4 linked regions of the Rhinolophus ferrumequinum genome follow. The protein of the gene in region 1 interacts with the protein of each later gene in a pairwise test. Links are inferred from orthologs where the notes say so. Each region holds a gene or a part of one and is shown on either strand. Other genes may lie near its edges.

The links.
Region 2: the proteins of EF-hand domain-containing family member C2-like (region 1) and CACNB4 interact in binary tests that used the Homo sapiens proteins (3 or more experiments, as listed by UniProt). The two-hybrid records come from large-scale screens. The link is inferred for Rhinolophus ferrumequinum from reciprocal best matches to the Homo sapiens genes EFHC2 and CACNB4.
Region 3: the proteins of EF-hand domain-containing family member C2-like (region 1) and COPE interact in binary tests that used the Homo sapiens proteins (3 or more experiments, as listed by UniProt). The two-hybrid records come from large-scale screens. The link is inferred for Rhinolophus ferrumequinum from reciprocal best matches to the Homo sapiens genes EFHC2 and COPE.
Region 4: the proteins of EF-hand domain-containing family member C2-like (region 1) and CLIC3 interact in binary tests that used the Homo sapiens proteins (3 or more experiments, as listed by UniProt). The two-hybrid records come from large-scale screens. The link is inferred for Rhinolophus ferrumequinum from reciprocal best matches to the Homo sapiens genes EFHC2 and CLIC3.

Annotation. Positions count from the first base shown.
Region 1 is NC_046291.1:21,738,231-21,745,059, forward strand, and holds EF-hand domain-containing family member C2-like, read left to right. Parts: upstream 1-4,063; coding exon 4,064-6,313; downstream 6,314-6,829. UniProt on the Homo sapiens protein: Microtubule inner protein (MIP) part of the dynein-decorated doublet microtubules (DMTs) in cilia axoneme, which is required for motile cilia beating.
Region 2 is NC_046291.1:68,432,270-68,440,194, forward strand, and holds the start of CACNB4 (voltage-dependent L-type calcium channel subunit beta-4), read left to right. Parts: upstream 1-4,919; 5' UTR 4,920-4,995; coding exon 4,996-5,055; intron 5,056-5,207; exon of another isoform or gene 5,208-5,336; coding exon of another isoform or gene 5,337-5,345; intron 5,346-5,575; coding exon 5,576-5,659; intron 5,660-7,925. UniProt on the Homo sapiens protein: The beta subunit of voltage-dependent calcium channels contributes to the function of the calcium channel by increasing peak calcium current, shifting the voltage dependencies of activation and inactivation, modulating G protein inhibition and controlling the alpha-1 subunit membrane targeting.
Region 3 is NC_046301.1:51,517,257-51,524,339, forward strand, and holds the start of COPE (coatomer subunit epsilon), read right to left. Parts: upstream 3,003-7,083; 5' UTR 2,843-3,002; coding exon 2,717-2,842; intron 1-2,716. Other genes in the region: probable ATP-dependent RNA helicase DDX49, read left to right, coding at 3,217-3,331, 4,184-4,307, 5,260-5,345, 5,434-5,555, 5,873-6,060, 6,211-6,351, 7,072-7,083. UniProt on the Homo sapiens protein: The coatomer is a cytosolic protein complex that binds to dilysine motifs and reversibly associates with Golgi non-clathrin-coated vesicles, which further mediate biosynthetic protein transport from the ER, via the Golgi up to the trans Golgi network.
Region 4 is NC_046295.1:83,143,262-83,151,013, reverse strand, and holds CLIC3 (chloride intracellular channel protein 3), read left to right. Parts: upstream 1-4,751; 5' UTR 4,752-4,812; coding exon 4,813-4,848; intron 4,849-5,716; coding exon 5,717-5,826; intron 5,827-5,903; coding exon 5,904-6,029; intron 6,030-6,148; coding exon 6,149-6,255; intron 6,256-6,341; coding exon 6,342-6,517; intron 6,518-6,619; coding exon 6,620-6,778; 3' UTR 6,779-7,461; downstream 7,462-7,752. Other genes in the region: ABCA2 (ATP-binding cassette sub-family A member 2), read left to right, coding at 269-304; protein PAXX, read right to left, coding at 7,478-7,643, 7,745-7,752. UniProt on the Homo sapiens protein: In the soluble state, catalyzes glutaredoxin-like thiol disulfide exchange reactions with reduced glutathione as electron donor.

The sequences.
Region 1 (6,829 bases):
AGAATTTTAAGGTAAATTTGTTTACATATTTCATGTTATCACATACAGACAAAAGATTGTAGAAATCCTAAGCATACATCTCTATGAATTCCACCAATGAGGCACACTATCTAATCACCTCCCAAATCAAAAAAACATATAAGCACCCCAAAGTCTCTCTCACTTGCACCCTGTCAAAGTCCTCTCTTCCCCTCAAAGTAACCATAACCTGACTTTAACACCAAAGGTTAACTGGGTATTTTGAACTTCGTATAAATGGACTCATAAACAATGTGTTTTTTATTTCTAACTTTATTCACTCAACAGTATGTTTTCGAGATTCAGTACTATTATTTCAATGTTTCCTTGCTGTGTAGCATCAATTGTATGAATAAACCTTAATTTATTTATCAACTGCTATTGTTGAACATGTAGTGGTCACTGTTTGGTGGCTGTTATGGATAGTAGAGCAATGGACATTTTGTACATGCCTTTTGGTGCACACATGTAGCATTTCTGCTGGGTTTATATATCAGAGCGGATTTATTGAGTCATAGCTATTCATATGTTCAGCTTTAGTTTAGAAAATCATTTTTCTGAAGAGTTTTCTGAAGCTGTTTTACAAATTTATACTTCTACCAGCAGTGTATGAAAATTTCAGTTCTTCTTATTCTATATAACCAATCGTTGGTCCCTTGGTGGTGGTGGTGGTGGTGGTTGTGTGTGTGTGTGTGTGTGTGTGTGTGAGGGGGATGTTTATTTAATATCCACCATCTTTTAGATGTTTAGTGGTAGCTCATTATGGTTTTAAAATGGATTTTTCCAATTATTAATGAAATTAAGAACTCTATACTTGTTGGCCATTATTATATATTCTTTTACACAGTATATAAAATATATGTAAATGAATGTGTGTATCTTGATATAAAATGGAATTTATAAAAAGAGGAATAAATAGATAAAGCCAAGCAAGATGAAAATAAGAATAATAAAACCCAATTCAAAGCAGTAAATTTGGTACATTTATTACTTATGTTATCGAAGACTACTCAGTTTTAAAAGATGAGCTGAACATTTGGATTAAGATTCCTATCAGCAAAGACAGAGGAGAGATGTAAAATAAATTATTCATTTCATGTCTTTTCCTAGTATCATATCCTATGAAAAACTTATTCCATGGATTTTCATAAAGATGATACTCTAAACAACATTCTCAACATTCTTGAAATAAATAAAACAGCGAGTTCATTTAACTAATTATCTTAGTATCTTTCCATGCAAGTGCAGAACCATCATTTGCATTAGGTGTCTGGTGTACATAGCTATATCGATCTCTATACAGTCATATAGAGATGAGCATATGGGCTTATTGAAACATGAAGATGATATTCCTAAATATCATATTATTATAAATACCAATTATCAATTTTACAATAATGTCCATGAAGTACAACTATTCAAGATAATTTAGTCTGCACTTCTAATTTTATTCTAAAACTGAACTGTACACGACTGTAGCCACTAGCTTAATTTAGGTAAAATTAAATTAAAAATTAATTTTCTTAGTTACACTAGACAGTGCAAGTGCTCAATAGCCACAGATGGGTTTTGGTTACTATACTGGGCAGAACAAATACAAAATATTTTCATTACTGCAGAGTGATTAAAACTATTCTAAAGCTTTAAAAATATAATTCCCTATAACTTACGAAAATTCTGCATTAATTGGAATATTGAATTTATAACAGCCTATTATCTTTTGGGACTAGATAAAATTTATCATGTACCTAACTGTAAGAATTAAATATTAAAGGCCAATGGGACTGAAAGATTGTTCTTGGATCAGAATACTTCAATTCTAGTCTTAGCCCAGTCTTTACATGGGCTCCATGATTTAAGGAAAATCCTCGGTGTCTTTAGTCTTACCTTTTGTACAACAAGTAGGTTCACCTGTAAACTCCAAAAGAAACCTGAATTTTCTGATTTTTTAAAGTCATAATCTCACATCTAAGTTAATGACGGCATGAAGATCATTTAGGGGAGTCTGATGCATTCAGTCGAAAAAAACCCTAAAGTTATAAACAGGGTTCATCAAATTAAAAATAGAACATAGGCATTCTTAGCATGAAAGAGGGATTCTTCAGATAAAAACAACACTGTTGAAATATTATAAGTTGTTTCTTTCAGATGTTACATTTTTACCCATTTAAAAATGTCCAATGAATATATTAAAAACATAAAATAGTTAATTTTGACATAAATCCATACTTTAAACTGAAGGTGACCACAACTCTTCATTTCAACAACAAAAAAATTAATATTTTCTCTCTAGATTCAATTATCTTCATTTTAAAGATATTACTTCTGAATAAGAAAATAACGGAGACAATGTTTTTTGGTATATCTCAGATCTTAATTGAACTGAGGCTTTTCGATGATGTCAATTATTTTTTGCTGACTTACTGACAACATTGCTCTATAAATGATATGGAAACAAAAGCTACTTACTACTGAATTTAAATCATTCCGTCATATTCAGGTTCTCTTTTTTATCTTTGTTTTAAAATTTCAGCTTTCCTGAGATGTAATTGACATACACATTTGTAAGATATTTAAAGGGTACATCATGGTGATTTGATATGTAAGTGTACTGTAAAAAGATTCCCCTCATCTAATTCACACATCTGTCACTTTATCTATTGATTATCTATCTATCTGTCTATCTATCTATCTATCTATCTATCTATCTATCTATCTATCTATCTATCTATCTTATGTGTGTGTGTGAGAGAGAACATTTAAATTCTACTCTCTTAGCAAATTTCAATTATATAACACATTTCTCATGAACTATAGTTATTGTGCTCTATATCAGATCCTCAGACCTTTTCATCTCATAGATGAAAGTATGTGCTTTTACCAACCTCTCAAGTAAACCTGACTATGACTCATAAAATGTAAGTACACTTGTCACACTTTTTACAGTTGTGGAAATTGAGGCACAGAAATGTTAAAGCAACTTGTTGAAAGCCATACTGCTTGTATTAGTCTGCTCAGGGTACTATAACAAAATACCATAGATGGAGTGGTTTAAGCAACAGAAATTTATTTTCTCACAGTTCTGAATATTAGAAGGCCAAGGCCAAGGTACCAGCATCGATGGTTTCTGATGAGAGCTCCCTTCCATCATGCAGCAGACGTACACCTTCTCCTTTTTTTTGTCCTACCTGGGTGGATGGGTGGGGGATGTTGGAGAGAGAGAGAGAAAGAGAGAGAGAAAGAGAGAGAGAGAGAGAGAATGTACTAGCGCTCTGGTGTCTCTTCTAATAAGAATACGAATCCTATAGGATCAGCCCTCCCCCACCCCATGACCACATTTAATTACTTTCTTGATCATCTTAGAGCCCTATGTCCAAATACAGTCACATCGCAGGTTAGGACCTCAACATATGAATTTGGGGGAGACACAGTTCAGTCCATAGCACCACTATTAACTGACAAAATTTAAACCCAAGTGGTTATAATATTAGCGTGTACTCTCTGAACCTCGATTGTATCTCTGAAAGTAGAAGAGCAAAAAATGCCTACTGTACAATGTTGGGGAAATGTTATGATACCATTTTCTCTACGGTAGCAGAACAAACACAAGATACATTGAAATTTTGGGGAATATCTATGCAGAGTTGCCATTTTTATAATGATTTTGTAATTTAATTTCCTTTGATATCAAAGGAAATATATACACTGCGATGAAAAATGTAATATGTGTTTAAAAATGGTTATGATTAATGTCTTACTATGTAGCCTGTATTGCTGCTAAATATGGAGGATATTTCATATGCCGAAAGTTCAGTTACACAGAGGACCGCTAAGTGGGACATTTCAAGTGTCTACGACATCAACTTTATTTCCATAGAGAGGATTCTGAATCGTCAAAGAAATTATGGGGTCACTCTTCTGTGACGCCACCTCCTGTATCTAGGAAACGCGTTGAGAGTGGGGGCTTCAACATTGCGGTCGCAAAGCAGCTGCTACCTGCGGGCCCCTTTCCTCCAGGATCCTTGACTCTTGGAAGCTCAGAACCATGGCCCTGCCACTCCTGCCCGGCTACAGCTTCAGCCGCAACGTGGGAAAGACGAAGTTCCACAAATCTCAACACTGGGGCTTTTGCAACAATGTTAGCATGCTGGTGGGTGAAAGTAAACCTGGAATAGGCGGAGAACCGCTTCTCGGCCAAAAGATGAAGCACAAATACAGTGTATTTACTAAAGAAGTGGGAAGTGACGCACCGGCCTGGGTAGCTTTTGACAAACAGGTATTATCTTTCGATGCCTATGTAGAAGATAAAGTGCGTGATACAAGTCAAGAAAACTATGGCATCAGATACTATAAAATCCTCTTCTATCTCGAAGATGACACAATTCAGGTAAACGAACCAGAGGTGAGAAACAGCGGAATGCCTCAAGGGACTTTCATCAGGCGTCATCGGATTTCTCTCCCACCTCCGGAGGATGCTCAGTTTTATACGGTCCATCATTTCAATGTCAACATAGACATTGTCTTTTATGGCCGAACATTCAAGATTTACGACTGTGATGCATTCACAAAAAACTTTTTGAAGAAAATAGGAGTCAAATTAAACCCCCCAGGACAGTGTCCGGAAGATCCTTCCATGAAGATATGGAGAAAGAAGCTAGACTGCGTAAAGCGCTTACAGCCCCAGGAATCCTCCGACACCCTGAAACAGTTCCTCCAGTATGACAGGAAGGTATTGCGTTTCTTCTGCCTGTGGGATGATTCCGCCTCATTATTTGGGGACCGTAGAGAACTCGTCTTGCACTACTTTCTGTCTGATGATACTATTGAAATCATAGAATTGCTAGCACACAACTCAGGCCGGGATGCTCTGCCATTTTTCCTCCAGAGGAGAAAGCTGCCCAAGTATGGCCCCCCTGGACTCTATCAACCAGGCGAGGTAACAAATCAGGTTGTTCTCAATGTGTATGGTGGCTTGGCAGTGAAACAAGTGAATGGCTACGTGTTGGATAAATACAAGCTGGGAAAATCAGAGCAAGAGTTTTACAAAGATAGTGACCTGTCCTTAGGAACCACCATCAATGTGTGGGGAAGGAAAGTGGTCCTTTGTGACTGTGATGAATTCACGAAGACTTATTATAAGAATAAATATGGAATTGAGAACTTTACGCCGATTTCATTCAAGGCTCCACTTCTTCCAAAAATAGAAAGGAAATTTCCACCTTATACGGGCTTTGGTTCTGAAGAGGATTCTCTGTGCTCTTGTATAGGCCTCGTGCCCAAACCTTGTCTTCATCTGAGGAATGTCGGGAAATTCATGGAAAAAGATAGCTATGGCAACACAAGCGGTATACTCCGTTTCTTAGCAAAACTTATCACAAAACCATGTGCCAATGAGGGCAGACTGTTTATTATATCTTATTTTCTCAGTGATGACACAATTTCAGTGTTTGAACCCACAGAGAGGAATTCCGTTTTTAATTTCCGGAAGTTCTTGAAAAGAATGCGTGTTGAGAAGCCTGGACAAGAAGTCTTCAAAAGTGAACTATCAGAATATATCAAAGCCGAGGATCTGTATATTGGAGCCAAAGTGAATGTGAATGGCCACCTGTTTGTTGTGTTCAGTGCTGATGAGTACACCTTAAAATTCATGGAGGAGAATTCAGACAAGTTTCCTTTGAGCAACCTTGAACTTGTTCTAGAAAAGCTGAAAGAAAAAATATCAAAATCCGGAGACGTCAGGCAGGTGTTTAGGGCTGCTGACTCTGGGCTCACGAAGAAGATGGATTGTAATACATTCAGAGACATAGTGATGACCATAGCTGCTGGGAACCTCACAGAACAAGAATTTGTAACCATTGCACGTCACTACAGGGTGCCTGATGACCCTTGTCCAGATGTGAATGTCCTAATTGCAATGGCCCATGAACAGCTCAAGAAAAATTCTTTTGAGAACTTTGAAAGACTCATTTGTAGCTCTGTATACCAAGATCGAGAGAGAAAAAAAGTATTACCCAGCAAAGACATCAAAAGGCTATGCAAGTCCTTCAGGTTGCCTTTGAGTAATGATCTTTTAGAATCCTTACTGTCCAAGTTTGAAAACAGTGATGAACAAATCAATTATGAGTCATTTTTCTGTGCCCTGAACTGGAGAATAAATATAATGCCCACACAGATAGCAAAATCACCCTTGAAAGAGAGAGATGATGTGTTGGTCGGGATGCCATCACCTATTTCTATGAAATACATTGACTATTTAAAATTTTTAAAGGACATATATGGCTTAGAAGAGGAGTAAAATGCCAGTTTTGCCCAACTCCCTTTGATTTCCTGCTCTAATTTTGCCAAGTTTATTTCTGTAGATACAATTTCATTAAAAACAGAAGAGAAGCACGGTTCATACTGAATTGAAATCCATAGACTACAATCAATCTCCTTGTGTCATTTTAGTTTTCCAGAACATGATATTGTGTTGCTGATGTACCAGCACTATTAAAAATGTCATTTAAAGGAACATCAAACATTTTTATTATATGTATGATTTATTAATAACAAAGAATCTTATGGTAATTTTGTAATCAACATAATTTAATTTATATAATACAAGAATAAAATGACTTTTGACATCTATATACGAAAATATAAAATCAAATTATATCAGATCAGTAAGTTGGCATTCTATTAAACATTTTTTGAAAAAGAAAAAAAAAGAAAAAGAAATTGTAGGGTCAGTAAGTCTCCAATATAGCATGGAGGTTATCAAAGTTGAGAAAAATAGAATGATCTAAAATTTTCTTATATGTTCTGATACACC
Region 2 (7,925 bases), about 47 Mb from region 1:
TCACAAGTTCTTTATCAGATTTGTGTCTTGCAAATATTTTCTCCCAGTCTGTGACTTGTCTTTTCATTCCCTTAACAGAGTTTTTCACAGAGCAGAAGTTTTTAATTTTAATAAAGCTCAACATACCAATTTTTACTTTCTTAGATCATGCTTTTGGTGGTGGTATTTATCTAAAACCTAATCACCAAACCCAAAGTGCTGTCGATTTCCTCCTCTGTTTTCTTCTAGAAGTTTTATACTTTTGTATTTTACACTAGGCTCTATAATCCATTTTGAGTTAATTTTGATAAGGTCTGAAGAGTTTTTTAAAAAATAACAGCTTTATTGAGATAATTCGTATACCATACAATTCATCCATTTGAAGCGTACAATTCAGTGATTTGACTACGTTCACAGGTATGTGCAACCATCACTACAATTAATTTTAGAACATTTTCTTCACCTCAAAAAGAAGCCCTCTACCTTTAGCAAGCACCTCAATACCCCAGCCTCCCCACCAATAAGCAACCACTAATCTATTTTCAGTCTCTACAGATTTCCCTATTCTGGGCATTTCATGTAAATGGAGTCATTTCATAAAACGGAATCAAAGGTCACAATGTATGACCTTTGTGATTAATTTCTTTCACTTAGCATATTTTCAAGGCTCATCCAAGTTGTAGCATGTATCAATCAGTACCTCATTCCTTTTTAATGCAGAAGGACATTCCATTGTAGAGATATACCACATTTTATTTATCCGTTCATCAGTTGATGGACATTTGGGTTGCTTCCACTTTGGGCTACTATAAATATTGCTATGAGCATTCTTGTACAGGTTTTTGCATGGACATATGCTTTCATTTACCTTGGCTATATACCTAGGAGTGAAATTGCTGGGTCATATTGTAACTCTATGTTTAACTTTTTTGAGGAAATGCCACAATGTTCTCCACAGTGGCTGCGCCGTTTAAAAATCCCATCAGCAGTGTATCACAGTTCCAATTTCTCTGTATCCTTACCAACACTTGCTATTATCTGACTTTTTGATTATTGCTATTCAGGTTGGTGTAATGTGGCATCTCATTGTGGTTTTGATTTGCATTCCTTTGACAACTGATGATATCAACCATCTTTTTCATGTGCTTATTGGCCATTTGTGTATTTTTTGGACAAATGTTTATTCATATTCTTTGCCCAATTTTAAAATTGCGTTGCCTTTTTATGACTGAGTTGCAAGATTTCTTTATATATATTGTAGCTAGGAGTCCCTTATCAGATACATACTTGGCAAATATTTTCTCTCATTCTGCAGGTTGTGTTTTTACTTTCTTGATAGTGCCATTTGAAGTACAAAAGTTTTAAAATTTTGACGAAGTCCATTTTGTTTATTTTTCCTTTCGTTGCTTGTGCTTTTGGTGTCATATCTAAGAATTCATTGCCAATCTGTCATCATGAAGATTTACCCTAGGTTTTCTTCTAATAGTTTTACCGTTTTAGCTCATGCATTTAGGTTTTTGGCCCATTTTGAGTTAATTTTTGTATGTGGTATGAGGTAAGGGTCCAAGTTGATTCTTTGAGTTTCTGTGCTGGGGGGACAGTGGTGCCCCTCTCTGAGTGACACCCCCAGTTTCGGAGCAGAGTGCTTGACAGGAAGGGACAGCAGTCCCAGGTCTCCTGGCGTGCCTCTCTAGGAGCAGTCGTGACCCCCGTATTCTCAGGGGTGCTGTGCCCACAGTACAGCCTCCATCTCACAAGTGGGGGCTGGGCTAAGGAATGGAGCCTCCACCTCTCTGCTGTATTTGATGGCACCTAACCTTCAGTAATGGGGACCTGGGGGCAAAATGAGAAATGCTGATTAGGGTTTCCGGGTGGGAATTCCCACCCGTTCCAATGAATGTTTTTTGCTTTCCCATTCCCGAAATCTGAGAAAAGTTGGTCGGGAAATTGGGAAAATTGGTTCCTTGAACCCAGGTGGTTGGTAGTATCAGCCATCACTTTGTGGAAACGATTCATCGTGGAGAACAGAAAACAGTTTATATTTACACAGAGAAATAATTATTTTCACAACCCAGGATTTGACAAAAATGTCATATCAAGGTAAACTGCCTTAGATTTCTTTAGTTCACCTGAAGATGACTTTGTAGTCAAATCCTGGGTTGTGAAAATAAATATTTTTCTGTGTAAATACAAACTGTTGTCTGTTCCCCATGATCAAATAAATGTGCTCGATTTACAAGCGCTAAAACTAGCTGGTCATTTGATATCTGATGCTGTTGTCAAGTGTGCATGTCTGGTGGCATGTAACATTGTAACACAATGTAACTTTAGATAGCGATAAATAGGAAAAATGTATAGGAGATACATTGTGACTAGTATGTTTATTTCCCATTGTGGGTATTACTGGGTTCAAGGAACCGATTTTCCTGATTTCCCGACCAACTTTTCTCAGGATTCGGAAACGGGAAAGCGAAAAAAATTCCTGAGAATGGGCGGGAATTCCCACCCGGAAACCCTAATGCTGATGTCCTGTTCCTCCCAGGAAGATAACCCTCATACTGGGAGCTGAGGAGAGATGGAGCCCCATGTTCAAGTCTGCACCAGTGTGGAGTGGAATTCCCCTCTTGCTGAGCTGACTCTGGAAGCAAGGAATGAGGAAGCAGGTCTTGTTTCAAATATCACAGACTCACTTTTCTTACTGAACTTTAGTGAATTTCCTTGAATAAATGCTTATTCCTTTGCTATGTTACCCGTAGGACCACTTTCAGAGATTTAAATGATTTTAAAAATAATAATTTTCACCAGTTTTGCTGTGGGGTAGGTGCAGAGAGGTCCTCACTGTCATACTGCTATAGATTCTTTTTGAGAATTCAAAGTCAGTGAGACTATGGGCAGTGGAAAACCAGAAAACTCAAATTTCGATGCCTACATAATAATCCATTCTCTATATATTAGGAGTCAACTATGAAAATGGCTCAGAACTAAAAATGGATTGATTTAATGGTAACCAAAGCAGGGAGTTCTGCATTGGCAGACACACCATTACCCACACACGTTATAGAGTATCTACTTACATATGTAAGGTAGAAGAATAGAAGATAAAAAGCTGAAAATCTATTTCAGAAACTAGGAGATTTTCACAAAAAGAGCATTAATAAACCAAGGCAGCCTAGACTAAATGCCTAGAGAATAAATGCTCCAGTTTTTCAGGAACACGAGAAATGATCCAGGACTGGAGTGGTCAGGAAGGATTTCTGTGGAAGAAGAGTGAGCTCAGCCAGATTTGGAGGACAAGTAGGATTCAGCTGTGTGTGTATGTGTGTGTGTGTGTGTGTGCGCGCGCGCGTGCATGTGTGTTGGGGGAGGGCGCATTCCAAGGCAGAGGTGCTGAAGTGGGATTGTATTTGGTATACTGAAGCAATAATGTGCACACCTACCTGCTTGCTGAAAGGTCTGTATGGAGAGATCAAGTTGGAGAAATGAGGTGGTGACCAGAAAAGCAGGGTAGAGGAGCGCTTTCTTGTTGGGCCATGAAGTTTGATCCCTATCTCGTGGGCTGCTGAGAGCAATGAGTGCTTTTTAGAGAAGGGTGCCTTGGGCAGAGATTGTAGGAAAATGGCTTTGCCTTAAGTGTGTAGATGGAATGAAAAGTGTGTGTGTGTGTGTGCGTGTGAGAGAGAGAGAGAGAGTGTGTGTGTGTGTGCGCGAGCGCGCGCGCGTGCATGTGTTTGCAGTAAGTAGCCTGGCTGCAAGGAGACTAGTTATTAGACTATTAAAAAGAAATGAAGTCTGGATAAAGTGAAGGGAGAAGGAATGGAAATAAGTATCTTGTGAATGGTAAGATATAATCAGGACTTCAATAAGGCAAACCAATTTATAAAACAAACATGGCAGTTTCTATATATATAAAAAAAGAAATCCTAGAATGCAAGGTGATTTGGGCTGATTTAGCGATTTAAGATACTATGCATATTTTAAAGATGGATTTCTCATGCAGTAACTATACTTGAACGGGGTCTTTTTATTTTCCAATTCGCATGTATTTTTCTTCCCTCTTCTTATTTCTTCAAATTCCTCCTCTCCACAATTCGCTTGATCTCAAATTAATCTCTTGTATGTATTTGGAGGAGGAAACCCAGGCTTGCAACAACGGCAAAGCTTGTATGTGGTTTCTTGGATGACTCTCCTCCCTTGAAAACAGCTATCCGCGCAGAAATGGGAAGCACGTGGCCAACTCTTGCTTTTTAGCAGGTCTAACATGACCTTCAAAACTCCTTAGGACAAGCTACTCTCCTGGGGGGCAGTATCTCCGGGCAGACTCAGGTTGGCAGGGTCTCCGAAGCTGCCCGGGTGTCTATGGCTCCCAGTTCTGAGAAGAGAGTTGGCAAAACAATATAAAAACACGGACAATAAACAAACCACAAAACCCCATCCCCTACCACAGTGGGCTGATAAGTGAAGTCGCAGAAGGAAGGTACGGCTCTTGCCCTTTTAAAATTCCAGTGCAGCAAACACACACACACACACACACACACACACACACACACACCGGTCGGTTCTTCCCACTCCTTGCCACATGGCACCAGCGTCCCTGCCCAAGTCCTGATTCATGAACCGTGCCACCTTTGTCTCATTTTAAACTGTGCAGACTATTTTAATCCTCCCACCCCCACCACAGATTTCCCCCTCCCTTCATCCTCTGGAAAGCTCTGATGTAAGGCGCTCGCTAGGTGGGAGAGCGCTCTCCTCATCGCTCGGGTGGGCGACATCCCGAGAAGTCCCACCGCCGGAACTTCCCCTGCGGGGGCCGCTGCCGGGACCCCGCTGCGGGCGCGGGGGCAGCGCGTCTGTCCCTTTAAGGTGTCGCGCTCCCAGAAGTGCGGGCCGGGAGCTGGGAGCTGGCGCGGTCCTGCAGCGGGTGGGGAAGTCCTGCCCCCCCGCCCCCCGCTTCCGAGCCTCCGGGGGCCCGTCGGCCCTCCGCCCATCGCGCTCGGGCTGGCCATGCAGCTGTGAGCCATGTCCTCCTCCTACGCCAGGAACGGAGCCGCCGACGGGCCGCCCTCGCCCACCGCGCAGGTACCGCCCCCTCCGCCCCCCCCCCCCCGGCCTCCGCTGCCCGGCAGGGCCCCGCCTTCGTGCGGGGCGCGCGGGCCCCCCAGTCCTGGGAGTGAGCGGCCTCTCTCTCCCACCCTCCTCCGCGGCCCTTCCTCCTCCCGCTCCTCCTCTTTCTCGTCCTCCTCCCCTCCTTCTCCTCCTCCCCTTCACCTGGTCGGTTCTCTGCGCTCCCGCTCCGGAGCCCGCAGCCTGCCCCAGCGGATGCCGGGGACTCGGACCCCGCGCCCTGAGAGTCTTTGTTAATGGATGTGGTGGGTGCTCGCCGGCCGCACCTCTCGGGCATCTTTTCAGCGGTGCAGGCGTGGAATGGGTGGGTGGGTGGGGGTGGGGGCTGGATCTGGGGACCACGGAGGACACTTGGGTGCGGGCTCCGGGGGACCCCGGGGCGCTGGTCCAGGGGCGGACTCTAGCCTGGGGTGGTCGCCCGACTCCACGCTGCGGTCCTTACCCGCTTCTCTCTGGCCCCGTGTGTCGAGTCCAGGTGGCCCGAGGCACCACGACCCGAAGGAGCAGGTTGAAAAGATCCGATGGCAGTACCACTTCGACCAGCTTCATCCTCAGACAGGTAGGAGGCAGGTGCGGGGCGGAGGCGGGGCAGCAGGTTGGGCCTGAGGCCGAGCGCCTGGTGCAGGGGTCCGAGGGCGGAGCGCAGACCCCACATGCGGGAGCAGTGCGTGGCGTCTCCACGCGCGGCTTTCCCGCGCCTGGCAGGATCTCCGGCTGCGTCCTTCCCTCTCTGCCCCTTGCTCGCGAAGTCTTCGGGTCCAGGCGTCTCTGCACCGCCCTAGGAAGTTAGTTTGTGCGTGTGGAGGCAAGTCGGCAGGGACTGGGTTTCGGGCAGGGCCATTTAATTAGAGACTGGAATATTTCTGGTTGCATCTTCGTGCGTGGGGAGACGTCTTTAAGTAGTGTAACTTGACTTTGAGTAACCAAAGCCCCTGTGGCCGGGCACCTGGTTTGATTCGGCTGAAAGTGAGGGTTATTTTCTGTTTAGCCCCATTTTGAATACTGTTTTCTGTCTAGGGCTTGGGAGAGATGTCCGAGTTCTGGTCAAAAGAAAGAAAAGACACTGAACAGAAAGTTTGGCCCCACTTTGGGACCGCTTCTTCGGGTCTCTTAATTAGGGAAAGAGTGCCGGATCTGGTTAAATTGAAATAAGGGAAGGCCGGCACTAAGTCCCCCGGGGTCCGGGTGGTATTACACTTACTGTTTGTTTCTTAGTGGTGGTTTTCTTCTGCGTGGTTCTCATGTGTGTTGTGTGTGGTAGAGAGAGCAGGTTACGCTGAATGCTGAAGTGCCTTTCATCTTGACCCAGGAAATTGGTCTTTAGTTTTCATCCTGTCCATGCTGCTGGGTGCCAGAGAGATCATGGAAAAGTGAGTCACCTTGATCCCTTTATTTTGGAATAGAAACTGTCCAGGTGTGTGCCTTTGGGTGACCTAGGAGGACTGCTCATCGCACCAAAACGCTTTTATTTCAGGCTCCATTATGGCCTGCTGGAGTGACCTTGGGAAGTTCTTTTCCCTCTAAGACATTCAGAGCGTTGGGAATGTATTTTTAACCTATGATGGCAGCTTTGCAATGGTTCTTTAGAGATTATCTCACCACTTTAAACCGGGTATCCATGACGAATGGGCATTCGACTCAAAATTGGACTCACACCTCTCCTAAAGGGTCCATAGAGCATATTTAGATAATATTTATTATGTAGATACTCATACTCCACAGAAACAAATTATTACTATTTCTCTTTAATTCAGTGAGCACTAGGCATGTGCATTATTAAAATACATTTAGGATTCTGAATTCATTCTAAAAGTGCATTCCGTCCCCTTTGTGCTTCGGTTATTTATGTATTTGATACAGCAAAGACATCCTCCATCTTTAAAAAAATTTTGAGTTATATGACTGTTTGAGATCTTGTTCTTGTTTATTTAGTAGGTGCCTATTTTGGGTAGTGTTTTATTGTTACCAAACTCGTAGAAATACTAATTATACAGCAGTGTATTCCATGAATGGCTTGACTAAAACTTGTGAGTTCATGTACACCATCACTTCACTAATGCTTCATTTTTTCCCAAGCACAAAACAAAACAATCAATATTCTTTCTAATGTTCTTTCCCCAATTTGCTCCAATAAATGATTGAGATAATACATGTATAGGTTCTTGTTGAGTGTGCTATGTATTGCCTTAAAAATGTAAAAAATATTGCATGCTAAATAATTTTAGGAGTAATTTAAACCAACGCAGATTTTTAGAATAAATATATTTCATAAGTCTTTCTGAAACTGGGATTTGGTAGTTTAATAAAATGGTCTAATTTACATTCAGGAGTTAGTTGTAATTGTATCGTATACACAATCTTCCAATTTTTTTCTGCAAAAAATACATAATTTTTGTGAGCATTTAGAGTTCAGTAAGTATCCTACACATAATCTCCTTTAAATGGCATAATGCGGAGTTCTGTAATGGCTACAATAAAAATGAGGATTGTTATTTCTTTGAGAAGAGATGAAAAATGACTGCAAATAAAATTTAACAGTGTATTTTTTGAAATAAAATGGAACAGTTTTCACCCAAATGCCAAAAAAACAATTGTTTTTTAGAACCACAAAAGTTTGTTATCATAGTCTCATTATTTGTTAAATGACCAGTAATTTATTGTTTTTGAGTTCTTGATACATTAGAGTGATGGACTTCCTTAGATATTTCCCAGTCTGTGTGATGCTTTTGCACATGAAGAAGATAATGGGGACTACTGATAAAACTAGTGCTGTTCATTTCTTTGTCATATTCTTTACAAATATACAGAAAGAAAGCTTTCACTAA
Region 3 (7,083 bases), on another chromosome or scaffold:
ACAGTCCTGGAGGCCAAAAGTCTGTGATCAAGGTGTCACCAGGGCCACACTGGCTCCAAAGGCTCCAGGGGAGGATACTTCTTTGTCTCTTCCAGCTTCTGGTGGCCCCAGGCATTCCTTGGTTTATGACTGTATCATTCTAACCTCTGCCTCCATCTTCTCTGTCTGCCTCAAACCTCTCTCTGTCTTTCTCTTAGAAGGACACCAGTCATTGGATTTAGGGCCTTAAATCCAGGCTGATCTCATTTAGAGATCCTTCACGGAATTACATCTGCAAAGACCCTTTTTGCAAATAAGTCACATTGACAAGTTCTGGGTGGACATCTTTTCAGGGACAGCATTCAAGATAGTACAGACTGCCCAAGAGGTTTAGGTGTCCTACGGATCAGAATTAAATCACATCAGATGAACAGTGCTCGCATTCTCTGGATGCCTCAGGGATATCTTGGTCTGGTGCTAGCACATCTTTATCACGTTGCCAGAGTGTCGGTTGCGTGTGCCTCCAGACAGAGTGACTGCTGGTATGGTTTTCAGTCACTCTCTTTGTACAAAAGATCATGCTGGTTCTTTCAGCAGCAATGTAGTCTGCATATTATGATGTAAGCAGAACAGACACATAGCAGAAGACAAAGGGTAGAACGTGAGCGCAATGCTGAATTTCACAGTGACCCTACTGATAGATGTCATTGTTCCCATTTGATGGAGGGGAAACTGAGACTCAGAGAGATACAATGATGACTCAGACCTGGTTTCAGAGAGAACACAGGAAAGCCGGAATCTGAACCCAGGTCCATCTCAATTTTCTCACAGCCTATACTATCCCAGCAAGGAAGCACACACAATTCTGGTGGTGGGCCAAATAAGGCTCCCCAGAGAGATCCACGCCAGTCCTTGGGACCTGTAAATAGCTCACATTACATCACAAGAGGGACTCTGCTGATGTGATCAAGGTTATGAACGCTAAAATGGGGAGAATGTGCTGGTTATCTGGCCGGGTCCAGTCCAATCGCAGAAGGCCTTAAAACAGAAACTAGGCAGAAGGGAAACTCGAGACTCCAAGTATGAGAACCCCGTGCCTAGTTCTGAGATGAGGGGGCCACATGCGAGGTTGAGAACTGAAGAGAAGCCTCTAGGAGCGAAGCGTGGCACAAGGTGGAGAGCCCAAAATCTGAACGAGTTTGGAAGCAGATTCTTTCCCAGAACCTCCAGAAAAGACACAGCCCAGCTGACCCCTTGATTTTAGCCTGCTGAGAACCATGTTGGACTTCTGACCTATAGGAACCGTGAGACAATAAATTTGTGTTGTCTTAACCTGCTTGTGATAAAGTTGTTAATGCAGCAACAGAAAAATTAATACAATCGTGCAAATGTTATCTCAACAAATCCTAACAGCTTCCTGAAATCTGTTTGAGGTTGTCTATATTATACAATGATGCTCCGAAGGCCAGAAGCATGGAGAGCAAGCCTTCTTTACTGCAGAGTCTACATTCCTCCCAACCTTCTGGCTGCCTCTATGAAGACATGTCACTCCCTTGCTTGGTGCTCTGATGGCCTCCAAAGCCCTGCTGTTCCCCCAAGGCCCTGCCCACCTCATTCTCAGTCCCCCGTTTCACCACCTCCCCACTTCTGTTACACAGGCCTCTTATGCCTTGACTACCCTGAGCTCATACTTGTCTCAGCACCTTTGCAGCAACTTATGGGGTTAGATGCTTCTCAAGGTTCAGTGTCAAGTTCAAATGAGTCAGAGAGGCTTGATGAGACCACTCCCATGTGAAGCAGCAACCCCTCCCTCCCAATTTCCAACTCAGCACTTTTTATCTCCCCACGCCCACACACAGTGCTCAAGTTCAAGTTGTAATTACATATTCACTCACTTCTTTACTCATTTATTCTCTTTGGAACACTAGGCGGTGAAGGCAGGTAAACACCCTGCCATGTTCACTGCTCTTAAAAATTCTCCAATGGTTCATTCTCAAAGTGACAGTAACAGCCACGTCCCTTCCTCAAAGGTCCTGCTAATGGCTCCTGCTGCCCCCTCTCCAGTCACCGGCTCCTCGCTGGCGTGTTTATTTTCTAGTTCTCAAACAGCCAAGCTCATTCCCACCATGCTCCATCACACCACCTCCCGACTTGTTTATTTACTCATTTATGTACTTGCTTAATGTCTGTCTCCCTGGCAAGGCTGAGATTCCCGCAAGAGAGCTGGGAGTTGTCTATTTTATCACAGCTTTGAACCCAGCACCAATACGCTGACTCATACAGATGAATGAATGAATGAATGTGCGAGTTTGGGGAGAAACGATCCGGCTAGTGGGGCAAGGTAACGTCGGGGAAACCATTTATCTTGAGCGTCGGTATTCTCATCTGTAAAATGAGGATAAACAGTCCCTACTTAACGGGAATTGAAGGTATAGCGGCACAATGTGGGCGCTCAACAAGTGAGAATTATTACCATTATTATTACCAAAGTGGTGGCATAAATGCCTCTTATTCAAATGCCTGCCAGCGCGCAGAGCGAGCACTCTGAGAAGTATAAACTGCTACTTCTTTGGGTGTTGTCACGGAACAAGGATTAACTCCTCACTGCTTCTGAAGATATGAGTGGGGGAGTGGGGTACGCCGCGAGGGGAAGAGAGTTTTCAAAATCAGAGCGCTACCCGCGGCCATCAGGAAGCGTCCTCCGCCCCCAGCGTCCCGCAACCCGAAGCGGCCGCACCTTCACCCGCTGCGCCTCGTTGATGCACTGCTGGTAGCTGCCGATGTAGAAGGCGTTCTTCACGTCGAACAGCTCGTCCACATCCCCTGAGCCGCCAGGGGTCGGGCCCGGGGCCGGAGGCGCCATGTCACTGTGGTCTCACTCACTCCTCTTCCTGAGGGACACGTCGGCCGGAAGCAGGGCGCCCCCGCGGGACACACTGGGAAATGTAGTTTACTTGGCCTGGAGATGAGCTAATGGAAGTCTCCGAAACGGGAGTAAAGGGGCGGAAGACGCAAGTGCGTCTTGCAGAGCATTTCGGGAATTGTAGTTTGATTCGATCCTGCGGGCCACTGGGATTCACCGAAACGGTAAGAAAAAGATCGAGGCTGGAAATGGAAGAGAAAGCTAACGAGGGTGAGACCACGCTGGAGGCGGGTCCAATCAACGGGAGAGTTTAGTGACGTCATCGGCACGCGCCGGAAGCGCGGCTCACACGGGTTCTGCGGCCGGCGGCGAGGATGGCTGGGTTTGCGGAGCTTGGACTGTCTTCGTGGCTCGTGGAACAATGTCGGCAGCTAGGTTTGAAGCAGCCCACGCCCGTGCAACTCGGCTGCATCCCCGCCATCCTGGAAGGTGAGTGTGGCCCGGTCTCCTCCCCGGGAGGCGTGCCCGCTCCTGTCGCCTCCCTTCCCTTTAACCCACGCTGGTCCTGCGAGGCGAGGGGCAGCCTCGGGCGTTTCGGGGATCCTGGGTTGAGGCACACTAGGCGGTTTTAGCGTTTAGGTTGCGCAACTGACTCGCTGTGTATCCCCGCCAAGTTATGTAGCCTCTGAACTCTCATAGTCTCAAGAGTTCGGGTGTGGGGGGGGGGCGGTGTTGGTGAATGACTAACCGATAATACTGGTAAAGTTGAGTAATTTGTACTACTGTCTTCATTTTACAAATGCAAAGTGAAGTTGTCAAGATTACTGGTAGATCCAGGACTCTGGTCCTGTGACTTCTGTTCTCACTCATCTGGCCCAACCCAGTTTTGCCATTGCAGAGATGTCCTCACAAAGCCTAGGATGTAGCAAGTTGAGGGATTAAACAAAGGTGAAAGAATCCACAGGGAGCATGAGATGCAGACTGGGGGAATTCCCCCAGATTCCCCCAAGTTCATGCTGGGGGCAGGGTTGTCAACATTAAGTGGTGGTTGGTAGCATCTTGGGTCAGATGGATGTGGGTTCTAATCCAGCCTGCTACTCATCAACTATGTTCCTGGGCAAATCTCTGAGTCTCAGTTCCACCTTCTATGAAATGGAAATGATAATGGCCTCTTTCTCCCAGAATTTATCAGTTGCCCACAATGGGAAGTTGTTAGTATGCCCGGAATGGGAGTACCCGGCACACAGTTAACTGCTCATTAAATGTTAGCTGTTGTAAACTGTGCTCAATGGAACATCGTATATACCTAAACTGTGTTGATGTCGCTTGCCCTCTGCCCAGGTCGGGACTGCCTGGGTTGTGCCAAGACCGGCAGTGGCAAGACGGCAGCATTTGTGCTGCCCATCTTACAGAAGCTGTCTGAGGATCCCTATGGCATCTTCTGCCTTGTCCTGACACCCACCAGGTGAGCCCCACCCCCCACAGGCCTCCTGGGTGAGTTAACCAGCTGTGTTATCTTGGGCAAATGCCTTTACCTCTCTGAGCTGCACTTTCCCTGTGTGCAAAATGGGGACAGAAATCATGCCTCCTCTTAGGTGTGCTACAGAATTAAACAAGGTAGCATGTGAAAATGCTGAGCACAGGGCTTGACTCAGGGCAAGAGGCAATACAGGAGCTGTCAATAGTCTTATAGCTCAAAAACCAGGCATATCTTCGGATCCTGGGCGGATAGACTCGGTGATTGACGTAGGTCCTCTCTAATGGCATTCTATAAGGCTGTGGTCTGGGAACGGGTGTGGTCAAGGAACGCTTCAGTCATGGGTGCTTAAAGGATGAGAAGCGTCTCATCCTAAAGGGACAAGTTTGGGGAAAGGTAATCTAGGCAGAGGTCTGCTGGTGCATTCATATGCAGAGGTGTGAGTGGCAGAGAACAGAAGGGGTACTGGGGCTGGGCACGTTAGAGCCAGCTTGAGAAGGGCCTTGAATGCCAGGTTAGAATTGATTCTGAGGGAGTGTGAGCAGGAGAGAGTAAGACAGGAGGCTGGGAAGTGGGGACATGGGCCGAGGAGGGACTTGGACACTGACTGGCCCCAGGGAAGGGGGCACTAATGCTCGGGGTTCAGGCTTTGGTAACTGGTGTCAAGGCCATTGCTGAGGACATGGGAGGAGGAGAAGCCAGTTTGGGTGGGACTGGTGGGGGTGGGGCCGTGGGCTGTTCTGGGACCCAGTCTGGTGAGGGAGCAGAGCCCACACAGCCCTCCAGTGCTCAGTGTCAGAGATTTTGTCTAAAGCGGACCGGGAGCTGTGCAGGGTGTATGAACAGGAGCCGGCGAGTCAGGAGGCCGCGGCGGTGGAGGTGGAAATGTGAGGCAGGCGCGGAACCCGTCTGACCCAGCCCGGCTCCTTCACACCCACAGGGAGCTGGCCTACCAGATCGCAGAGCAGTTCCGAGTCCTGGGGAAGCCTCTGGGCCTGAAGGACTGCATCATCGTTGGCGGCATGGGTACGCGGGCCCCAGGGAGGCTCTGAGTGTGGGGTCCCCGCAGCCTCGGACCACCCGCCCAGCCCCACCTCTTGCCATCTACCTGCAGACATGGTGGCCCAGGCCCTGGAGCTGTCCCGGAAACCACACGTGGTCATCGCCACGCCGGGGCGCCTGGCTGACCACCTCCGCAGCTCTAACACCTTCAGTATCAAGAAGATCCGCTTCCTGGTAAATTGCCCTGGCCACTGATTCATCCATTTGGGGAACATATGTCCCACAGGCCGTCGTAGTAGCATGTTAGGAACATAACAGAGACAGGGTCAGAGACCCATAAGAGGTGACCTGTACTAGCGAGAGTGGTTGGAAGCAGGGCGTCTCTGAGGAGGCGGCATTGGAGCTGAGACAGGTGAGGGAGCAGGGCCTGCAAAACACTGAGGGAGAGTGCTCCCAGGCCCACGGCCAAGGCTGGGAAGGAGGCCCACGGGGGAAGCAGGCCAGCCTTGGACAGCGCCCTCCTCCCCATCCCCCGGCTGCCGGTGCTGCAGGTGATGGATGAGGCTGACCGCCTGCTGGAGCAGGGCTGCACTGACTTTACAGTGGATCTGGAGGCCATCCTGGCAGCCGTGCCGGCCCGCAGGCAGACACTGCTCTTCAGTGCCACTCTTACCGACACACTCAAGGAGCTGCAGGGCCTGGCCACCAACCAGCCCTTCTTCTGGGAGGCTCAGGCCCCGTGAGTCTACAGCCACCTTTGGTGGGGGAAGGCAGGCAGCAGGAGGGGGGGGCGGGGGGGGCGTCACACCCAGTGGAAGTTATTGCCCATGGGTGGGGCAGGGGATTAGCCAAATTCATCAGAAGGGGAAACAGGCCTGCCCGTCCCCAGAGTACGCACTGTAGAACAGCTGGACCAGCGCTACTTGCTGGTGCCTGAGAAGGTCAAGGACGCCTACCTGGTCCACCTGATCCAGAACTTCCAGGATGAGCACGAGGACTGGTCCATCATCATCTTCACTAACACGTGCAAGTGAGTGAGGGTGGGCCCCCCCATTTGCCCCCCGAGCGAGGGTTGGCTCCCCCATAACCCTTCACAGAAGCCTAAGATGTGGCCTGAGGTCATGGGTGGGAGGCATGCAGCACTCCAGGGCCTGTGCTCAGACCAGAGGTTTTGGAGGATTTGCTCAAGAATGCTCACAGAGATCAAGCAGCTCACCAAGGTTACCCCTCCTAAAGGTGGCACCAGGATTTCGGGTTCCTCAGACCCGCCTTAACCTGAAGGGCTTGTGGCCTTGAGCTGTCACTACCCTTGGAACAGCCTATCCACTGTTGTCTAGGGTTGTCACTGAGGCCCAGTGCAGTGGCACCCCCACCTGGGGTCGTCCTCCCCGTGGTCCCAGGGGACTTGACAGTCCTCTGAAGCATAGAGGGAGATTTCAAGAAGCTGTAGACTGTTCTAGCATGAACCAGTAGATGGGGACGCCACACCAAGAATGTAGATGGGCACTGCCCCCTAAGAATGTATTGGCTACCAACACAGATGGGCCCTGGATGTAGGGCTAACTCTTGTTTGCTTAGGCCAGGGGAGGAATCAGAGAGAGGACGGCAGTGGACAGGACACCCTGCACCTCTGCTTGTTCTTTCCCAGCTGTGCAGGGCCACCTGCATGGGTCCCGGGCAGGGGCGGGGGCAAGAGTGCTTTTCCAGGATCCTGGTGCTGGAGGGACTGAGAGTGTGTCCTTCCTGCCAGGACCTGCCAGAT
Region 4 (7,752 bases), on another chromosome or scaffold:
GGGACCCACCTGATGCTCAGGGATAGAGTGGACGTGGGAATCACAGGCACAGGCAGAGGACACACACCTACTGCGACCCTTCAGCACCTGGAAGTTGGAGGGGCCTCGGAGATAGGTAGAGCAGAGGTGGACAGGGGACAGAAGAGCTGTAGATGCAGTGGTCCCCAGACTGGGAGATGGAGGTGGGAGACACCATGTCCAGTCCTGGGGTGGGGGAGTGCTGGGTGCCACATGCCTCCCTGAGCCTGGCCTGCCTGCTGTCTACCAGGCCCAGCTCTCCTTCAACACGGACACGCTCTGCTGACCGCCAGGAGCTGGCTCAACAACACGGCTGAGGGACAGAAGTCAGGCAGTGGCCCAGGCCCCACCTGTTTCCCCAGTGCCATCTGCGGGGCCCTGGAGTGGGAGGTCCAGGACCAAGGGCTCCAGCCCCTCCAGCCCCCAACCCGTCCTCAGCCCTGCCCGTGGCCACTGTGCCACCCTCCCCTCATTGTGCCAAAGGCTGGCCTGGCCCTGGGCTATGACACCCTCACCCTGCTCTGCCTTAAAGCCTTGGGGCGAGAGCCCCTCGCCTCTGCCCCTGCCCAGCTCTGCCCACCACCCACAGGGCCACTGGGGTGACACGGGATTTTAGGTACCACTCGCCCCTCTCCTGGCCGGGCCTGGGCCTGGCTTCCGGAACCGGCTTTTCTCTTACATCCAATTTGGAAGTTGGTATCGCATGCCTGGGGCTGAGTGTGGGTGTGTTAGGTCCCACCTGCAGGCACCTATTTGTTTTGCTATAGGAAGAGGCTTCCTTAGCCTGGTTTCATGCTGGGAGCTCATCACTGAGGGGCTGCCACAGGGCAGCAGGCTGGGTAGCAGGAGTGGAGAAGCCGGCCACGCTGGCCAGGCCAAGGTCCAGACCCCTCCCCACCCCCTTCAGCTGCCACTGCTCTCCCACCCAACTTGGCACCCTGCCTGCCCGCCCATCCAGGAGCCGTACCTGTACATAACGCACAGATGTTTGTTTTAAATAAATAAACAAAAAGTCCACGTAGGCCTGCGTGTGTGGGGTAGAGTGTTGGGATGCAGATGGCCCCTGCCCTGCAGGCTTGCCTGCAGTTTCCTGGAGTCGTGGGCTCAGCATGGGAGCAGGGCAGTGGGGTCAGCCTGGAGGAGGGGTGGGCTTCTCATGCCTCTAATGCCCTGTTGCTGCAGGTGGGGAGACTGAGGGAGGGGCCATCCGTCACTCCCTCTGCACCTCCCAGCCTGGACTCCCTGTGCTCAGGGCACCAATGGACAATTGGGTTTTCATGGTGAGGGCCTGGGGGCAGGTCCTGAGTGGGCTTTGCTGTGTCAGTGTTGTCCTATGTGCTCTGCTGCTTTCTCCAGGGGCCTGGTGCCCATGCAGGGCCAGTGGGTGGTGTGTGCGGGGCTGTCTGCATCTCATCTAGGCCGTGGGAGGGCTTCTTGGAGGAGGTGATCTCTAGGTTGAGACCCAAGTCCAGGCAAGACTGCGTACAAAGTTTGGAGGAGCGGTGAAGGCTCCCAGGGCCTGGGGGTTCCATGGTGATGGAGCCTGGAGACAGGGTGGTCAGAAGGAAGGGTCCCAGAGCCCAGCCCCCTGAGCTTGGCCATAGTCAGTCGCCCACCTTAGACCACTTCAAGGGGACTGGAAGGGACACAGAACACCCCTGAGGAAGTTGGAGGGTCATATGGCCAGCTTACACCCCAAACGTTTTTACCTCGGTGGGGGCTGCAAAATGGCGATTTTCTACTCTATTTTCCCCCTGCATTTATTAGCTGTCATTTTCTCTCACAACAATCTCCTCTGCTTTTAGAAATAGTCATTGTTGACTCATGGGTTTCAAAAAACCTGTTCTCATTCATTATTGTCATCTTTCAATTTTTTTTTATTGTGGTAAAATACACAAAATACCGGGGATGCCAAAAAAATGTGTACAAGTGAACACTTTGGTCAATGTTGCTCAAGCAGTTGTTCGCCGTCATCAGAAGTGTCTGGACGCTGATGGGAACCACTTTGAGGACCTCTTGTAATTGCAGAAGTCAAACGTGACTTGTATTCATCTTTTGTTATCGGTATATATTCAGTATTACAATTTTAATACAGTTTTTCTTAAAATATGCATACATTTTTTGGCACCCTCTGTAATTATTGTTTCAAACATTTGTGAATGTATAGCTCTAGTATCACTCTTACACTCAGATGGCCCCAGATTTGGCCAGTGGCAGCCCCTCGACAGTGGCTTCTGTGTCCCTTTGCCTAGTCCCAGACGTGTTTTAGGGCAGTCTCTTACTTTGTGGTACAATTCCCAGGCCAGCTTGGAACTGCCACCCATGTCTGGATCCAGCCTTTCTCCAGGGCGGTGGGTGTGCTCACTGCGTCTCGGCCCCCTGGCGGCAGAGCTAGGAAGCACCTGCACACGTTCCTGGGGAGACCCCTGTGCTACCCCACTGTCTCCTTTGAGCACAGAGCCTTTAAGATGGTGCTGGGAAGGGCCCACAGAGGGGGCTCAGGACTGGAGTTTCTAACATCGGTGAGGCCCCCCATCTGTCACTTCAGAGACACCTCCAGGGCTGCGCCGTGGATGTGGCAGGAGAGCATAGAGACATCCATGGCCTGGGTAGGTCGTTGGACCAATCACGGCTGGTGACCATGAGTTTCTGGTCTTACTTTTTAAAAACAATTGACGATGGCAAGTTGGCAGAAGATGCAAACGGTGCTGATGGAGAGGAGGTGCTAGCCAGATGTCCACGCCTCAGGTCATCCTACAGGAGGTGCCTTCCGTCCGTTCCCACGTGTCCAAGCAATGACTCGGAGTGACACATACTGATGCTTCCCGTTTTTTCCATCGACCGGGTGTTTTTCTCCCACCTGTATTTGTCTGCTAGGTGTGCCATGACAAATGACCACAAAGTGGGTAGCATAAAATAACAGACATTTCCTCTCAGTCTGGAGGCTGGGGGACCACCTGCCCCAGCTCTGTCCTATCTCACAGTGGTATCTGGCCATCTCTGGTGTCCCTTGGCTTGGAGAAGCACCACCCCGATCTCTGCCCCCATGTACACACAGTGTTTTCCCCGTGTGCATGTCTGTCCAAATCTCCTGTTTGTGAGGGTAGTCATGACCTCGTTTTAACCTAATCACGTATTTAAAGACCCCATCTCCAAATACAGCCATATTCTGAGGTGCTGGGGGGCTAGGATTTCAACATGTGAACTGGGGAGCACAATTCAGCCCATAACACCACTAAACCTCAAACCAGTGAGACACACAGGACTGTCCCATACCCAGCACACACCTGTTTATATATCCCTCGCATATTTACAAGGGTATCTCTGGGCTAATTCCCAGATGGGTGACTCATCTTGGCGGCTGCTGACACTTGGGTACCCTACATCCTTGCCACAAATATGACCACCACATGTCTTCCCGTTGCAACCATGAACTTTTTCTGGTTTGTTTCTTGCAAACCAGTGAGGTGAAACCCACTCACGCATTTGGCTGGCGTTTATTTCCTTTACTCTGAACCACCTGTTCACTGTCTAGTTCACCGTTTTTCTTACAGATACATAAGGGTATTTTTATACACATAGAAACTCACGCAGGACATCTGGCGAGCATGCACGTGGAGGGGCCTTCTCCAAGACGCAGTTTGTGTGCAGGCAAAGCAGGAAAAGGGCCCCTAAAATCTGGCTTGTGGAATAGAGGTGGGCAGAAGGGAGGTCCAAGCCCCAGAGGGGAGCCGGGCACCAAACTCCACAGTACATCAGTATATCCAAGCCAACCGCCAGGCTCTCGGAGTGGCCTGTGCCCAGGAGCCCTGACCTCGGTGGAGTCCGGGAAGGAGAGGTCAGGCTGAGGTTCCAGCAGAGGCCCCAACCTTGGGCGAGGAGGCAAAAGCGCCGGGCTGATCCCGCTCTCGGCCACTTGGTGGCGCTAAGCCTCTGTGGGTTCCTCCCTTGGGGTGCCCCCAAGGGTGGACTGCGGGAGGTGCGGTGGGCCACCCTACGGGGGCTAGCAGGTGCACACCTGTGGGGTCGCAGGCTCCCCGACCTCCCCTGGCCTTCCAGCTGAGGGCGGGGTGGGCGGATCCTGTGGGTCAAGAGGCAGTGGCTCCAAATCCCCTCCTGGTTCTTCCTCTTAAAGGTTAAGAGGGGAAATAAAGCTGCCCTGAGCCCTCGTGGGAGGGACAGGGCTGAGGGGTCAGCTGGGCAGACGCTGGAGCCAGGCTTGTTGCCCAAGGGCAGGTCTGGAATGTGGGCCCCGCCCTGGGGTAGGGGAGCGTTGCCTGACAGAGCTCTGTTGGTGGGAGGGGACACCCCTTCTAAGTGGGCTTATCACTCTTGTAATGCCCTGGTAGGCAGATAGAGAAACTGAGGCTGGAGCCAAGCTGTTCATTTCTTCTATCCACTCCCCAGCTTTCTGGACTGGGGAGCCCTACGGATAATGGGGTGTTCACTGCAGGGAGGGCAGTGGGGTTCATGGTGGGGTGATCTGATGCGGAGCTGCCGCTCCCAGGCCCCTCTCTTCTTGCCTCCTAGTCCACTGGTCTTGGCCTCCATCTCACCGTGCCACACCCCCCATGGGGTGCTCAGGTCCCCTGCCTCAGGCAGCCAGCCCGGCCCACTCAGTTCCCCCCATAGTCACACCCTCATGCTGGGACAGTGAGCGCCACCAGCCTCGTCAGCCTGCCTACCCGCCCCTTAGGTGACTCTCGGGGCGGGCCCTGGGCGGGGGAGGGCGGGAACCCAGGGAGCCTTAAAGAGCTCCCCAGGTCTCCGCCCTTGCCACTGCAGCTCCCCACCATGGCCGAGACCGCCAAGCTCCAGCTGTTTGTCAAGGTGCCGGGGATCAGGCTGGGCTGGGGAAGGCCTTGGGGAGGGGTGCTCTGCGGGGCTCCACTTTCCAGGGTGGGCTGAGGCGTGGGTCTCCACAGCAGTCTCTGCACCCCTTCCCATGATGGGTGGGCTCAGGCAGCCCTATGGAGGCTGAGTAAAGTGGGGTTAACCTGGGGGTGAAGGGTCAATGAGTCGTCTCCAAAGGGGTTGGGGGTGGCCCTGTCCCAACTCCCAGCCTGGGCTCCTGGACCCAGTCCATCAATCCTGGAGCAAAAGCCCCCCTCCAGGGGGAGGTGACAACCAGGCGGCCAGTGGCAGATGCCCAAGTAGAGCTTGGGGGCGACACGGGAGGTGGGGTGTGTGTGGCTGGCCCAGGCAGCTCCATTGGTGCCAGATCTGTGGAGCCCAGTGTAGGGACTGCCAGCCCTTGGACCCTTCCCCACCCTCAGGGCTTGGGGCAGCTAGTGTGCTGCCAGCCTCAGTGCCCAGTCAGCCTCAGTGCCCAGTTTGCGTGTGAATCACTCAGAAAACAGCTCACTCGGCCCATCCCACCCTTGAGACCAGCCTGTGTGGCCTGGAGCCCAGGGCCCTGGCCTCTGCCCAGGGTCTGAAGATAAGGCTCAAGGGGCCAGGCCCCCGGCCCTCACCCAGCCTCCAGGCTTCCAGCAGCTCTGTGCCCCTCCCCATGTACTAGAGACCAAGTCAAGGGCTCTCACCGGCCACTTGCTGAGGCCATGCCTGACCTAGCCGGAGCCCTGGCATCGCTCCAGTCTCTTGGCAGTGGCAGACCCGGTCCCACCCAGCCTGGTGGCAGGATTCCTGGGTCTGCTCCCTGCCCTGACCTGACACCCCTCAACTCCACCCACCGTAGGCAAGTGAGGACTGTGAGAGCGTGGGACACTGCCCTTCCTGTCAGAGGCTCTTCATGATCCTGCTACTCAAGGGTGTGCCCTTCACGCTCACCACGGTGGATATGCGCAGGTGAGCCCGCGCCTGAGGGACCCCTCAGGGTCCTCTGTCCCCTCAGGCTAGCCACTTCCCCTCCCTCGTGCCCACAGGTCCCCAGATGTACTGAAGGACTTCGCCCCCGGCTCACAACTGCCCATCTTGCTGTATGATGGCGACGCCAAAACCGACACGCTGCAGATCGAGGAGTTTCTGGAGGAGACGCTGGGGCCGCCAGAGTGAGGGCCGGGCACGGCAGGAGAGGCCCCCAGGGAGGACCCCCCCAGGACAGAGCCCAGGAAGGGAGCTATGGTGCCTGCGGCGCGAGGGTCTGACACGAGTTCCTTCTCCACCCCAGATTCCCCAGCCTGGCGCCCCGCTACAGGGAGTCCACGACCGCGGGCAACGACGTCTTTCACAAGTTCTCCGCGTTCATCAAGAACCCAGTGCCCGAGCAAGATGATGGTGAGGAGGGTTGGTAGCCGCGGTGACGATGGGGGCAGTTGTGTCCCAGACTGGGTGTTCACCGAAGCCCCCTGCCCCCGCCCCAGCCCTGTACCAGCTGCTGCTGCGCGCCCTCGTCAGGCTGGACAGATATCTGCGCGCGCCCCTGGAGCACGAGCTGGCTCGGGAGCCGCAGCTGCGCGAGTCGCGCCGCCGCTTCCTGGATGGTGACCAGCTCACGCTGGCCGACTGCGGCCTGCTGCCCAAGCTGCACATCGTGGATGTGAGCGCGGGCCGGGTGCCGGAGGGTGCGGGGGTGTGTGTGGGGGGGTACGGGGCGCGCCCTCGAGGAGGCCCTGACCCCGCCCACGCCCCTTGTCCGCAGACCGTGTGCGCGCACTTCCGCCAGGCGCCCATCCCCGCGGAGCTGCGCGGCGTCCGCCGCTACCTGGACAGCGCGCTGCAGGAGAAGGAGTTCAAGTACACTTGTCCGCACAGTTCCGAGATCCTGGCGGCCTACCGGCCCGCCGTCCAACCCCGTTAGTGACCCCGCCTCTGCCATCCCCGCTCATTCGTCTGCAGCGCCATAAAGCCCTGTGCTCCAGTGAGCGTGTCCGCACATCCCAGGGACCAGAGGGCCCACGATTTTTGCCACCCTCAAACCCCGACCGTGGGACGCTCAGTTTCAGATGACAGCCCAGAATGACAGAGGCAGAGAGCCCGTTGGGCGGGGCGAGCCCATCCCCCCCACTCAACAGGGACAGCGGGGACTGGATTGGGCTCCCAAACCAGTCAGTCCAGGGCAGGGAGGCAGGATGGCCAAGGAGGGTGGGGAGCAGAGCCCTGCCTGGGCACCTCGGGGCTCCCGGCCAGTGGGCGGGGTGGCCCGCATTCCTCAGCCTTGCCCCCAGGGGGCAGACCACTCCCCCATCTCCCGCAGGACCTACTGGGTGGGGTCTGGAAGAGTGAGGTGTGTGCCCCGTGGGGTGGAACAGAGTTCCAGCCTTGGGAAACCCTGGCAGGGCCCTGAACGGCCCTCAGTTCCTGGGCTGGCCAGGCAGGAGCAGGTGGGCAGTCGGGGGAGCTTGGCAGCTCCTCCCCCAGGGAGCAAGCGCCTCATCCATCCGATTATGTCCTGTGGTCCCATGTCCAGATCGTAGGCTGAGGGGAATCCCTGATCCCTCTCCCCCAGCCATCCCCCAGGAGCCAGAACCAGGCTATGACGTCTGCCTGAGGAAGCCATTTATTTGATGGGGAGGGAGCTCAAGGTTTGTTGCCGCTGGACGGCAGGACAGGCAGGTGGACGTTGTGAGGTCTCAGGGGCTGCTCCTCGCCTCGTTCCAGCTCCCAGCAGGATCATTTTTTGCTGCACGTCAGAGATCATCAAAATCCACACCGCTGGCTGGCTTCTTACTGGGAAAGAAGAGGGGGACATCATGGAGGTGTGGAAGGAGGGACAGGGTCCAGGGCTGGACCCTGGGCACAGGAGGGCGGGGCAGTGGGTGGGCACCTCTTGAA